Linked DNA regions of Saccharomyces cerevisiae S288C. The protein of the gene in region 3 interacts with the protein of the main gene of each other region in a biochemical or structural test. Each region holds a gene or a part of one and is shown on either strand. Other genes may lie near its edges.

The links.
Region 1: the proteins of MYO5 (region 3) and SHE4 form a complex in vitro, tested with the Saccharomyces cerevisiae proteins (one study listed by BioGRID).
Region 2: the proteins of MYO5 (region 3) and LAS17 form a complex in vitro, tested with the Saccharomyces cerevisiae proteins (one study listed by BioGRID).

Annotation. Positions count from the first base shown.
Region 1 is NC_001147.6:397,194-402,004, reverse strand, and holds SHE4 (She4p), read left to right. Parts: upstream 1-1,900; coding exon 1,901-4,270; downstream 4,271-4,811. Other genes in the region: CYC2 (oxidoreductase), read right to left, coding at 1-450; SNAP receptor PEP12, read right to left, coding at 791-1,657; YOR034C-A (uncharacterized protein), read left to right, coding at 4,337-4,579. UniProt on the Saccharomyces cerevisiae protein: Required for mother cell-specific ho expression. Might be required for the transport of factors (such as ASH1) that promote HO repression from the mother cell into its bud.
Region 2 is NC_001147.6:674,217-678,381, reverse strand, and holds LAS17 (actin-binding protein LAS17), read right to left. Parts: upstream 2,444-4,165; coding exon 542-2,443; downstream 1-541. Other genes in the region: 40S ribosomal protein eS30 RPS30B, read left to right, coding at 3-191; putative dodecenoyl-CoA isomerase DCI1, read left to right, coding at 3,215-4,030.
Region 3 is NC_001145.3:484,770-490,803, forward strand, and holds MYO5 (myosin 5), read left to right. Parts: upstream 1-1,817; coding exon 1,818-5,477; downstream 5,478-6,034. Other genes in the region: ILV2 (acetolactate synthase catalytic subunit), read left to right, coding at 1-1,378; HFD1 (hexadecenal dehydrogenase), read right to left, coding at 5,625-6,034. UniProt on the Saccharomyces cerevisiae protein: One of two redundant type-I myosins implicated in the organization of the actin cytoskeleton. Required for proper actin cytoskeleton polarization and for the internalization step in endocytosis.

The DNA of each region.
Region 1 (4,811 bases), on a different chromosome or scaffold from region 3:
ATAGAAAGATAATTTTCCATCTGCATTGTCACCATCTTTTAAGATTTCAATCTCTTTTGAAGCTGGGTTAAATTTAAGCGGTAGAGGCGTATAATTGCGGACCACCATGACTTCCGGTTGTTTGATCTCGACGGACCACAGATTTTCCGCAGTCATCAATGACCATATGTTAACTTTCTGCTTAAACAACGGAGTTACTTCCAATAAAAAATGTGATGAATCAATATCTCGCTTGTGTGAAATCTTGTACTTGACAAAATAAGATGGAGATAACTCATGTTTGTTTTCCCTCTCACTTGTGTACCTGTAGGTTAAATAACTGCTTACTGCTCCAACTGTCAGTAGGCAGCCTGTGATAAAAAAGTTCTTAGAGAAGCTGCTCTTTCTAGGTGACTTATGAAGCCTACGTGTTATTCGGGAACTGGATAGAACATAATTTTTCCACAGCATGCTACTTTTTCTTTTTTTCGTTTCCTCTTTTCTATTTTTGAAGGGTTCTTTCAACACGTTGCACTCTTCGAAGTTGTATTTTTCACTTGGGTTAAGTGAATTTTCACTCTTCATTAGGGTATGATGATATTAACAACATTTCAGAAGGGCAAGGAAAGGCGAAAAACTGAATTATGGAATATACTCTCTCTTTGCGGCTGGTTAAGATGCGACGGCGTAGAAATATTATGAGAGAGCCCATGCATTGTACAGTGAAAGTGCAAAACAAGTTCATTAACACGAATCTGTTTTAAGTGTATATATTATGTATATGATATTTGACGACGTGTGTTGGTTTGGTTTACAATTTCATAATGAGAAAAATAAAAAGAAGCATTACGAGAAGCACAATCAACAAATACACCCTCCATCTGCTCGTACGTTTTTGGTACCGCATGGCCTTCCTTAGCTCGTCTGAAGCCAATTGAGTGTTATCTGACGTTGTATAAATATTTGCTTCAATATTGTCAACTAGCACACCCTGCTGTTGAACAACACTTCCCAAATCTTTAAAAACTTCGTTCAGTTCCGTTATACCTCTTTCAATATTGCTGATTTCCTGGTCTCTTTGCTCGATAAGATTTTGCTGATAAGCAAACTCTTCGTTATTTATCGGGTCTCTCTCAATGACTATTTGGCTGCCTGGTATTCGAGTACTTTTTGAGCTATTCTGCCTTTGTTCTTCATCTAATAAAGCAGCATCATTTGCCATCTCACTTGCTTCAAGAGATTCTTTTGCTCTTTCATTAACTTGTTTCATTACTTGGGTAAACTGCCGCTGAATACCTTGAAACTCTTGAAAAGAGTAACTGACATCCCTCACAAGTTTCTCTCTCGCTATTATTTGAGTCTTATCCAGGCTAGCTTCCTCAATCGCATCCATCTTTTTCACTGATGTATTGACCTTTTTAATGAGCCCGCCTATTTCTTCTATCTTTGCCACAGATCTCTTATTAATTCTTTCCACAACTTTCGCACTAACATCTCCCCGATCTATAAATGACTTAAGTGTCGCGGTAAACTGCTGCAGCGTGCTTATTTGCCCATTTATTTCAAATAACTCTGCAGCAACCTCTTCTTTCAACGTTTGGAACTCAGGTGAATCACTGAATCTGGAACCGTTCCAAACGGCTTCATTATCACCACCAAAAAATTCGTCTTCCGACATCTCAACACAATTATTGTAGTAATTTACGTTATATTCTTCTATAAAAGCATTCTCTTTGGAGTGATAGCAGGCCTGTTTTATAGGGGATTATACTCTGGCGCAGTAGTTCATCGTCGATCATGATGATTATCAGCCGCGATAAGGCACGAAGGCTTAAATCCAATTACGAATCTTCTACTTAATAGTGAAGACGTTTTATCTAAACTACTCACATGAAAAGATTACTAAAAAATTAGAATCACGATGCCACTGTGTGAGAAAGGGAATGATCCAATCGATAGCTCTACTATTGATAGCCTCTGCGCTGCATTTGACAAGACTTTGAAATCCACCCCTGATGTCCAAAAATACAATGATGCTATAAATACAATTTTCCAGCTAAGGCAAAAATCTGAATCTGGGAAAATGCCGGCTGATTTAACGAATAGTGAAGCCCTTAAAGATCGTCAGAAAATCGAAGAAATATTGACCAGGTCTTACCAAGACCATTCTGAGTCCCGCGTACATTTATCTAAACTTATACAGAATGATATTCCCTTCGCACTCAATTTATTTGAAATATTATCAAGATCATCCATCCACGTTTTCGTTGGTTGCTTTTCCAATAAAGACGCAACAATTGCATTGTTAAATGAGCTGCAAATTAGGATACACTATGGCGAGGACACCCACGTCACGTATTTACTGAGCATAATTCTACAACTATTGAATAAGTTCAAGTACAATTTCAAGGAGGTGCGATTTTTAGTGAAGGAACTTATTTTGCGCATAAGCGAAGATGAAGTAAAATCGATGATGCTTATAATTTTTGCTGAATTACAATCAAGCTTCCAAAAAGACTTTGATAAAGCAGTGGTCGATTTCATGAGTAGCTTAATTGTGGAGGCAGAAATAGACGTTGGAAATGATCCATTGTCCATCATAGTCAAAACCCTATCAGAATTATATCCTTCATTGACAACACTTTGTTCTGAAATATTTTTGACCAAAGGACTAAGTAAGCTTTTTAAGAAGAGAGTATTCGAAGAGCAGGATTTACAGTTTACAAAAGAACTGCTGCGGTTATTATCTTCCGCGTGTATTGATGAGACCATGAGAACGTATATTACAGAAAATTACCTTCAACTATTGGAAAGATCACTAAACGTGGAAGATGTACAAATATATTCTGCATTGGTGTTAGTTAAGACATGGTCTTTCACAAAATTAACGTGTATAAACTTGAAGCAACTGTCCGAAATCTTTATAAACGCTATTTCAAGACGTATCATGCCAAAAATTGAAAATGTCAATGAAAGTGCGGTTAAGCTCGAGGAGGTTCCTAAAGTTGAAATGTCCGTTGAAGCGCTGGCATATTTAAGTCTAAAGGCCTCGGTTAAGATTATGATTAGGAGTAACGAGAGCTTTACTGAAATTCTATTAACTATGATTAAAAGCCAGAAAATGACGCACTGTTTATATGGTCTCTTAGTTATCATGGCAAATTTGTCCACTTTACCAGAGGAATCCAATGGTAGTTCACAGTCTATCAATGACTTAAAAAATTACGCAGATTTGAAGGGCCCAGGCGCAGACAAGGTAGGCGCAGAGAAAGAATCAAAGGAAGATATTCTTTTGTTTAACGAAAAGTACATATTAAGGACCGAGCTGATTTCCTTTTTGAAGAGGGAAATGCACAATTTGAGCCCCAATTGTAAACAACAAGTGGTTAGGGTTATATATAACATAACCCGCTCGAAAAACTTCATTCCTCAATGCATTTCACAAGGTGGTACAACTATCATCTTAGAATATTTGGCCAATAAGCAGGACATAGGGGAGCCAATACGGATTCTAGGGTGTCGGGCATTAACAAGAATGCTAATATTCACTAATCCGGGTTTGATATTTAAAAAATACTCTGCATTAAACGCTATCCCCTTCTTGTTCGAATTGTTGCCAAGGTCTACGCCAGTGGATGACAATCCGTTACATAACGACGAACAAATAAAGCTGACAGACAATTACGAGGCACTATTAGCTCTGACGAACTTGGCATCATCGGAGACCTCTGATGGTGAAGAAGTTTGCAAGCATATCGTATCTACAAAAGTATATTGGTCCACGATTGAGAATCTGATGCTAGACGAAAACGTTCCTTTGCAAAGATCAACATTAGAGCTCATAAGTAATATGATGAGTCATCCATTAACGATTGCTGCTAAGTTCTTTAACTTGGAAAATCCTCAGAGTTTGAGAAATTTTAATATATTGGTGAAACTTCTTCAGTTATCCGACGTTGAGTCTCAACGAGCAGTGGCTGCTATCTTTGCTAACATTGCCACCACGATTCCATTGATAGCTAAGGAACTGTTAACCAAGAAAGAACTAATCGAAAATGCTATTCAGGTATTTGCGGATCAAATTGATGACATTGAGTTAAGACAAAGGTTACTTATGCTTTTTTTTGGATTATTCGAAGTGATACCGGATAATGGCACTAACGAGGTGTATCCGTTGCTGCAAGAAAATCAAAAATTAAAGGATGCTTTAAATATGTCTTTAAAGAGAGGCGATTCAGGACCAGAGTTTTCAGCGGCAATTCCCGTTATCCTTGCTAAAATTAAAGTCTAATATGGAAAGAATCGCCATGTTTAACTCTTCTTAATTTTCACTAAGAAATACAACAGCACCCTGATAATGAACACACAAGAACTATGTAAGATTTTCGTAGCCAGAGAATATCCTCTGGTAGTGGTGCCCTTTATATATTTTGTTCTATTTTTACACCAGAAGTATCACACTACTCTAAATTATGTCTGGTACCCTACGTGTTCTAAAAGAATCTGGGTGAGAGAAAAAGGAAGAAAGTGCTCCTTTTTTTTTTTTTCAAAGGTGCCTCGGTCCGATGGCTTCGCAAACAATAGATGCCAAAGGAAATGATCTTCTCTTTTTCGCTTCTTTATTTTTTTTTAAGTTACGACTTCGTGCAGCCTGGGATGTACCAAGCTTGTTGTTAAACGAGCCTGACTTCTTAATCGCTTAATCTTAGTTGAATTTAGTAGTTCCAGTTTGTATGGCTGCTATTTTTGAGTATTTGGAATCATCTTTCGTTCAGCGATCTTTTTATCATTCACTTTGTCGTTTACAATTAGAAAGCGTCAAAACTTTGCAT
Region 2 (4,165 bases), on a different chromosome or scaffold from region 3:
AGGCTAAAGTTCACGGTTCTCTAGCTCGTGCTGGTAAAGTTAAGTCTCAAACTCCAAAGGTTGAAAAAACTGAAAAGCCAAAGAAACCAAAGGGTCGTGCTTACAAGAGATTATTGTACACCAGAAGATTCGTTAACGTTACCTTGGTTAACGGTAAGAGAAGAATGAACCCAGGTCCATCTGTCCAATAGATACTATCTAAAATTCTATACTTTTATTGTTCTACATGTGTAATTAAACAAAAATATTATAATTAGGAAATATTTACCCTTTTTACATGGGTTTTTGATTCGAACTGCTAAAATCTAGGATTTACTATACATCATTTTCTCAAACATTTGAAACGGCCATAGGGATGGCCATCATTGTAGCCCGACTATTACCTTGATCATTCAATCACTGACCGCCTTTGAACCTATATCAAAATTTCCTCCGATTAAAGAAACTATACATAAAAAGAGCAATTACTTTGATCATTAATAGTGAGTACATAAAATTACATATTTTCTATAACAGTAGTTTCATCTTTGTTTGCATTCCATTACCAATCATCACCATTGTCCATATCGTCATGAGCTCCCACTTTAGTTTTTCTTTTGTTTAAAGCTGCTGCCAACGCATCTGCTAAAGAAGCCGGAGGTCCACCAGGTGTGCCTCCATTTCCAGCCGCTGCTGGTGGTGAAGCAGATTCTCCACGTGCTTCCTGCAGTAAAACTGAGGGCTTATCTAGCTGCGATTTGTCAACTTTTCTCAAAGCGCCTATGCCACCTGCCCCTCTAATTGAAGCTAAAAGTGCATCACGACCTGCATCTCCAGTAGTTTCAGCGAATGAACCGCCTCCGGATGTTGATGTAGCTGGCATTTGAGGAGGTGGGGGTGGAGCTGGAGCTCCTCCAGATTGAGGTTGTTGAGTTAGGAATGCTGGTGGCGGAGGTGGTGCAGCACTCGTCGTCGATGGTAACGTTGGCGGAATAGGTGCTGAGGGTGCTGACTGAGGTATCTGCGACTGGCCTAAAGATGCCGGAGGAGGTGGTGGTGCCACTGGCACATTTGTGGCTTGCGAAGGTGCTTGAGTATTCTGAGGAAGGGGAACTGCAGGTTGTCCAGTTGCTGCAGTCATTTGTGGTGTCAGGGTATTGAAAGTTGTCACTGGAGGAGGGGGTGGAGATGACATGTTGCTATTTGTCTGATATCCAAAGGGGCGGTTAGAATTATTGTACTGTTGTGGATTTTGTTGCATCGTAACGTTTGGTGTGGGGCGAGATGCTCTTGGAGGAGGTGGTGGTGCTGGCCCTCTTCTTCCAGTGGCCTGTGGAAGGAGGCTATTTCCACCGGCAGAATTCAGGGTATTACTGGTTACGTGCCTATGTGGTGGAGGCGGTGGTGCTGGCCCACGCCTTGGCGGAGGTGGAGGAGCAGGTAGGCGAACACCTGAACCTTCAGTAGTGGTACGCATTGGCGGAGGAGGTGGCACAGGCCGATTATTTCTGTTAGGCAACTGTGGAAGGGGCCTATTCTGCTGTGGTATGCCCATTGAAGGAGCTTGATTAAACTGCTGCTGAGGTACCGGAAATGGAAATGGGTTTGTTGCAGACTGTGTCGAGGGAATTTCAGGAATTGGGAATGGAAATGGATTGCTTTGGGGTTGCGAAGGCGCGTTATTTTGAGGTGGAGAGTTATGTTGTGGAGGGTCTGGTAATGGCGCAAACTGATTTGGTAAAGGCGGTAAACTATGCTTTGGATGCGTTTCTTCTTTTCTTACTTCAGGAGATGCAGGAGGAAGAGCAGGGGCTGGGGTAGTCGGTGCGGATGCTGTTGTCGAATTGATATCGGAAAATGAACTTGTTTGGTCTGAATCAAATGTTTCGGCCGTTGGCGGAGGAGGGGGAGGAGCCTTATGCTTTGTAGTTGGAATTGTGTCCACATCTTCATAATTATATCTTTTCCTTTGATTGTCAATCAATGACTCCCCTCTTGGGCCGTGCACCACTTGAGATTTTTGTTCTTCTCTTACTTTCTTGGTTAATGCTACAGCATTTTTGTTCAACAAAGTTTTCCTGTTAGCATATCTTTCACGCTTTTGAACTCTCTTTAAAAAGTGCGATGCTTCATTAATATCTACAAACAATAAACCTGCAAAGCATTCTTCCATCTCAAATGTATGAAAAAAAGTACGGTCTTGATAGTATTCAAAATTCACATACAATTCTTGGTCCCAGATAACTCCTCTATGGCCATTGATGTCAACTAATTTCAAAAAAAAAGTATTCCCCACAAGATCGTCTACTAGAGCAAGAGCTCCTGAAAGTCCAGTGTACTGCCATTCATTTTTATCAGGGTATGCAATGTATAGTCGAGCCACCGTAACATCAATAATCTTATTCGACGCTTTTGGTAGAGCCCTTTTGATAATTTCCTTATCTGAAGAGTTTAGGAGTCCCATATTAAATCACGCCTATCAACACTTAAAGTAACGAACTGTAATTTGTAGCGGAGATGGCAATCGCTACAGCACTTCCTTTTCTACTATGTATATTCTACATTCAATATTTATTATTACATATTCATGATTTTTTTTCATAGGTATTGACTGGCCCCTTTTCGGACGTCTCGCACGTATTCAATGATCATATAAACTATTTGGAAAATTCAAAAAAAAACAACTATAAGATCAGTTAAGACTTATATCATAGATCTTTTAAACCAGAGACACAATTTCAAGTACCATGGGCAACTGCTTGCATTGCATTTAGTTTTGCCTTTTTTCTAATTGCAAAAGAAGAGTATTCCAAAACCACTTCTTTGATAAATCGTCCACGTCAGCCGGCGTTACTTGAAACTAAACGCATACTTTATGAAAAAGGGCCATCAACTTGTCTTTTTGTTAACATTCATTTTGAAAATATGAACTTTGGTATAATTGAAAATCTAGCATATCTATATTTTTTGAATATATTTAGGCGATAACTTAAAAAAGCATTGTTTCAGTTCTGAAGTTTGTTGCTTGTTTCTATTCTTTACTGGATGTCTGAAACCCCAAAAAAAAAAAAAAAAAAAGGACTCCACAAGTAGCGGCTGTAAGCGCGCTAAACTCCGACAGTGTATTATATATACGTAAACGATCCTGATAGAAAAATCCAATCCATTACCCCGGGATTATTTTATTACAGAGTAGGATTTTCTGGTGTTAAGTCTAGTGAGTTATCTTCTAACTATGAGCAGTCGTGTGTGCTACCATATTAATGGTCCCTTTTTCATAATCAAATTAATTGATCCAAAACATTTGAACTCTTTAACTTTCGAGGATTTTGTATACATTGCACTATTACTGCATAAGGCAAACGATATTGATTCTGTTTTGTTTACTGTTCTACAAAGCTCAGGCAAGTATTTCTCCTCGGGAGGTAAGTTTTCAGCAGTTAACAAGCTAAACGATGGAGACGTTACAAGCGAAGTGGAGAAAGTCTCAAAGCTGGTATCTGCTATAAGCTCTCCTAACATATTTGTGGCGAACGCATTTGCAATCCATAAAAAGGTTCTGGTGTGCTGTTTGAATGGACCGGCCATCGGACTTAGCGCATCGCTAGTTGCTCTTTGTGACATTGTTTACTCGCAAAACGATTCAGTATTTCTTCTTTTTCCCTTCAGCAATCTCGGTTTTGTCGCAGAAGTGGGAACTTCTGTTACCTTAACTCAAAAACTGGGTATAAATTCTGCAAACGAACATATGATTTTCAGCACACCAGTTCTATTTAAAGAATTGATAGGAACTATTATTACAAAAAATTATCAATTGACAAATACTGAAACATTCAATGAAAAAGTTCTTCAGGACATAAAGCAGAATTTAGAAGGGCTTTATCCGAAAAGTGTACTAGGTATGAAAGAATTGTTACACAGTGAAATGAAACAGAAGCTTATCAAAGCACAAGCAATGGAGACTAACGGAACCTTGCCTTTTTGGGCAAGCGGCGAGCCATTCAAAAGATTTAAACAGCTTCAAGAGGGAAACAGGCGCCACAAGTTATAATAATATAGCATTTAGAGATAGGATTTTAACATAAAAAATCTACTACACGATCATACTTCTGCAATTGTTAAATTCCGGGTTCTTTAATACTTTAATGTTGGCGCACAATATTTTATATCTGTTGTAAAATCCGCT
Region 3 (6,034 bases):
TATTAACGAGGCTTTTGAAATTGCCACGAGCGGTAGACCGGGACCAGTCTTGGTCGATTTACCAAAGGATGTTACAGCAGCTATCTTAAGAAATCCAATTCCAACAAAAACAACTCTTCCATCAAACGCACTAAACCAATTAACCAGTCGCGCACAAGATGAATTTGTCATGCAAAGTATCAATAAAGCAGCAGATTTGATCAACTTGGCAAAGAAACCTGTCTTATACGTCGGTGCTGGTATTTTAAACCATGCAGATGGTCCAAGATTACTAAAAGAATTAAGTGACCGTGCTCAAATACCTGTCACCACTACTTTACAAGGTTTAGGTTCATTCGACCAAGAAGATCCAAAATCATTGGATATGCTTGGTATGCACGGTTGTGCTACTGCCAACCTGGCAGTGCAAAATGCCGACTTGATAATTGCAGTTGGTGCTAGATTCGACGACCGTGTCACTGGTAATATTTCTAAATTCGCTCCAGAAGCTCGTCGTGCAGCTGCCGAGGGTAGAGGTGGTATTATTCATTTCGAGGTTAGTCCAAAAAACATAAACAAGGTTGTTCAAACTCAAATAGCAGTGGAAGGTGATGCTACGACCAATCTGGGCAAAATGATGTCAAAGATTTTCCCAGTTAAGGAGAGGTCTGAATGGTTTGCTCAAATAAATAAATGGAAGAAGGAATACCCATACGCTTATATGGAGGAGACTCCAGGATCTAAAATTAAACCACAGACGGTTATAAAGAAACTATCCAAGGTTGCCAACGACACAGGAAGACATGTCATTGTTACAACGGGTGTGGGGCAACATCAAATGTGGGCTGCTCAACACTGGACATGGAGAAATCCACATACTTTCATCACATCAGGTGGTTTAGGTACGATGGGTTACGGTCTCCCTGCCGCCATCGGTGCTCAAGTTGCAAAGCCAGAATCTTTGGTTATTGACATTGATGGTGACGCATCCTTTAACATGACTCTAACGGAATTGAGTTCTGCCGTTCAAGCTGGTACTCCAGTGAAGATTTTGATTTTGAACAATGAAGAGCAAGGTATGGTTACTCAATGGCAATCCCTGTTCTACGAACATCGTTATTCCCACACACATCAATTGAACCCTGATTTCATAAAACTAGCGGAGGCTATGGGTTTAAAAGGTTTAAGAGTCAAGAAGCAAGAGGAATTGGACGCTAAGTTGAAAGAATTCGTTTCTACCAAGGGCCCAGTTTTGCTTGAAGTGGAAGTTGATAAAAAAGTTCCTGTTTTGCCAATGGTGGCAGGTGGTAGCGGTCTAGACGAGTTCATAAATTTTGACCCAGAAGTTGAAAGACAACAGACTGAATTACGTCATAAGCGTACAGGCGGTAAGCACTGAATTTCAAAAACATTTATTTCAAAAGCATTTTCAGTAAAAAATGCAGACTTTATTATTATTTAATCGTGCTTCTTATATATGACATTCTACCAAATCGGTAGTCATGTATATTTTTTTCGTATATACTTTATATATTTTTTTCTAAAAAACTAATGACGGCTAAAATTAAGTCATAGATGAATAATAAGTTCAATTCAAGTGAGTTGGTAGTATTTGATAAATCTAAAGTGGATACGTAGCATATGTATTCAAATGGTGTGTTTTAACTCGTCGGACACGACTTCTTTCTCGTTTTGTCAATCATCAAAAATATTTCTCGAAAAGGGGCCGTCAAAAATTGCAAGCTTGGAAAATACAAACTGGACTATGTATTTAAAGGTTATAGTTTATAATAAAGCATAAGAACAGTGGCCAATACGAATTTAACCGCTTTATAGAAATGGCTATCTTAAAAAGAGGAGCTAGAAAAAAGGTACATCAGGAGCCAGCTAAACGCTCTGCGAATATCAAGAAAGCTACTTTTGATTCCTCGAAGAAGAAAGAAGTTGGTGTGTCTGATCTGACGCTTCTTTCTAAAATCTCCGACGAAGCCATAAATGAAAACTTGAAGAAGAGATTTTTGAATGCTACAATCTACACTTATATAGGTCATGTGTTAATTAGTGTCAATCCATTCCGAGACCTCGGAATCTATACTGATGCTGTTATGAATGAATACAAAGGTAAGAATAGATTGGAAGTTCCACCCCATGTATTTGCAATTGCAGAGTCTATGTACTACAACATGAAATCATATAATGAAAATCAGTGTGTTATTATTTCAGGTGAATCAGGTGCCGGTAAAACTGAAGCAGCTAAAAGAATTATGCAATATATTGCGGCTGCTTCTAGCACACATACGGAGTCAATTGGAAAGATTAAAGACATGGTTTTAGCCACTAATCCATTGTTGGAATCTTTTGGCTGTGCAAAGACTCTAAGAAATAACAACTCTTCTAGACATGGGAAATATCTAGAAATAAAATTCAATAACCAGTTTGAACCATGTGCTGGTAATATCACAAACTATTTATTGGAGAAGCAGAGAGTTGTGAGTCAAATTAAGAATGAAAGAAATTTCCATATATTCTATCAGTTCACGAAAGGTGCTTCCGATGCTTATAGGCAAACATTTGGGGTCCAAAAACCGGAACAATATGTGTACACAGCTGCTGCGGGTTGCATATCTGCTGAGACAATTGATGATTTGCAAGATTATCAAGAGACATTAAAAGCTATGAGAGTTATTGGTCTCGGTCAAGAAGAACAAGACCAAATTTTCAGGATGTTAGCTGCAATTCTTTGGATTGGTAATGTTTCCTTTATAGAAAATGAGGAGGGGAATGCGCAAGTTAGGGACACCTCAGTAACCGATTTTGTTGCTTACTTGTTACAAATAGATAGCCAATTGCTGATTAAATCACTTGTGGAAAGAATTATGGAAACCAATCATGGTATGAAAAGAGGGTCAGTGTATCATGTTCCATTGAATATTGTCCAAGCAGATGCGGTTAGAGATGCTTTGGCAAAGGCTATTTACAATAACTTATTTGACTGGATTGTGAGTAGGGTTAACAAATCTCTGCAGGCTTTTCCAGGCGCTGAAAAATCCATTGGTATTCTTGATATTTACGGCTTTGAAATTTTTGAACATAACTCTTTTGAGCAGATTTGTATCAATTATGTTAATGAAAAGTTACAACAAATCTTTATTCAATTGACATTGAAATCTGAGCAAGAAACTTACGAGAGAGAAAAAATCCAATGGACCCCAATTAAATACTTTGATAACAAGGTTGTGTGTGATTTGATTGAGGCAAGAAGACCACCTGGTATATTTGCAGCAATGAATGATTCTGTTGCAACTGCACACGCGGATTCAAATGCTGCTGATCAGGCTTTTGCTCAGCGTTTGAACTTGTTCACAACAAATCCACATTTTGACTTGAGATCTAACAAGTTTGTTATTAAGCATTATGCCGGTGATGTCACATACGATATTGACGGTATTACAGATAAAAATAAGGATCAATTACAAAAGGATCTGGTAGAATTAATTGGTACCACTACCAATACATTTTTAGCCACCATTTTCCCGGATACTGTAGACAGAGAATCAAAAAGAAGGCCACCTACAGCAGGCGACAAAATTATAAAGAGTGCAAATGATTTGGTTGAAACTTTATCAAAAGCACAACCTTCATATATCAGAACAATTAAACCAAACGAAACCAAATCTCCTAACGATTATGACGATCGGCAAGTTCTACACCAGATTAAGTATCTAGGTCTGCAAGAAAACGTGCGTATCAGAAGAGCAGGTTTTGCATATAGACAAGTGTTTGAGAAGTTCGTGGAAAGATTTTATTTATTATCTCCACACTGTTCTTACGCTGGTGACTATACATGGCAAGGTGATACCTTAGATGCTGTTAAGTATATATTGCAAGATTCCTCTATCCCACAGCAGGAGTACCAATTGGGTGTCACAAGTGTTTTCATCAAAACACCTGAAACATTATTTGCTTTGGAGCATATGAGAGATAGATACTGGCACAATATGGCTGCCAGAATCCAACGTGCTTGGAGGAGATTTTTGCAAAGAAGAATTGATGCGGCCACTAAGATCCAGCGCACCATCAGGGAGAGGAAGGAAGGTAATAAGTATGAGAAGCTCCGGGATTATGGTACGAAGGTTTTGGGTGGAAGAAAAGAAAGAAGGTCTATGTCCTTATTAGGTTACAGAGCCTTCATGGGTGATTATCTATCATGCAACGAGTCCAAATCGAAGGGCGCTTATATCAAAAGACAAGTGAGCATTAAAGAGAAGGTCATCTTTTCCATACATGGTGAGGCCTTGCATACAAAATTTGGCCGTTCTGCACAAAGATTGAAAAAAACTTTCCTATTAACTCCAACTACATTGTACATTGTTGGTCAGACTTTGGTCCAAAATGCTATGACCTATACTCAGGATTATAAAATCGATGTGCGAAACATTCAAGCGGTTAGTTTAACCAATTTACAGGATGATTGGGTCGCCATTAAGTTGGCTAGCTCAGGTCAACCTGACCCCTTAATCAACACATATTTCAAAACAGAACTCATAACGCATCTGAAAAGGCTTAACGACAAAATTCAAATTAAAATAGGCTCGGCGATAGAGTACCAAAAGAAACCTGGAAAGTTGCATTCAGTGAAATGTCAAATCAATGAATCTGCACCAAAATATGGCGACATATATAAATCCAGTACAATATCAGTTCGTCGTGGTAACCCACCTAATTCTCAAGTGCACAAAAAACCGAGAAAAAAGAGTTCAATCTCTTCAGGATATCATGCTAGTTCCTCGCAAGCAACGAGGAGGCCAGTTTCGATTGCTGCAGCCCAGCATGTTCCCACCGCCCCGGCTTCTAGGCATTCTAAAAAGCCTGCCCCTCCACCACCAGGAATGCAGAACAAAGCTGCTACAAGAAGATCTGTTCCTAATCCTGCTTCCACTCTCACTGCATCCCAAAGTAATGCCCGTCCTTCTCCCCCTACTGCTGCCACTCGTGCTACACCCGCTGCTACACCCGCTGCTGCCGCAATGGGCTCTGGTAGACAGGCAAATATCCCTCCACCACCTCCTCCACCCCCACCCTCTTCAAAGCCAAAAGAACCCATGTTTGAAGCGGCTTACGATTTTCCTGGTTCAGGATCACCATCTGAGTTACCTTTAAAGAAAGGAGACGTAATTTACATTACAAGAGAAGAACCAAGCGGTTGGTCTCTCGGGAAACTTCTGGATGGCTCTAAGGAAGGTTGGGTGCCAACAGCTTACATGAAACCACATTCCGGAAATAATAATATCCCTACTCCTCCTCAAAACAGGGATGTTCCTAAACCCGTTCTGAATTCTGTACAACATGATAACACCTCTGCAAACGTTATTCCAGCTGCAGCCCAAGCAAGTTTGGGTGATGGTTTGGCGAATGCGCTTGCTGCTAGGGCCAATAAAATGAGATTAGAGAGTGATGACGAGGAGGCTAACGAAGATGAAGAGGAAGATGATTGGTAATCAAAATGTATTTAGCGAGTATATACTCTATACGAGCAAATAGAGTAAATTGTAATTAATAAATATTGATATATTATCGCCCATATGAAATTTTTAAACGAAAGGTTACTTATACATCAAATAATTAATTAACCTTAAACATTACGTTCAGGAAGAACAATGAGCGTAAATGGTACTAATTAAAATAACGGCGGCAGATAATGAAAAATATTGGCGTAACCCCCACTTGTTATTGCCATTTCTGTCAAACCAAGGTTTTCTTTCCATCGCAAAACGGACGAGCTTTTCCTTTTGTGCGCTATTTGGAGGGTATCTCATAAAAAGGGTAAAATCATTCCAATATGGTTGTTTAAAAATTGTTCTTTCATGACTAAAGGTATTGAATCCATAATATCCACCATAGTTACCATAACCTGAAGTACCGATCCCTCCAAATGGAGCGTCGGTAATTCCTACATGAATCACTGTATCACCGACAACACAGTCACCAGATCTTAAGCGCGTCAAGATACGATTTATTTCAGTTTGGCTATCAGAGAATATGTATTGCACCAATG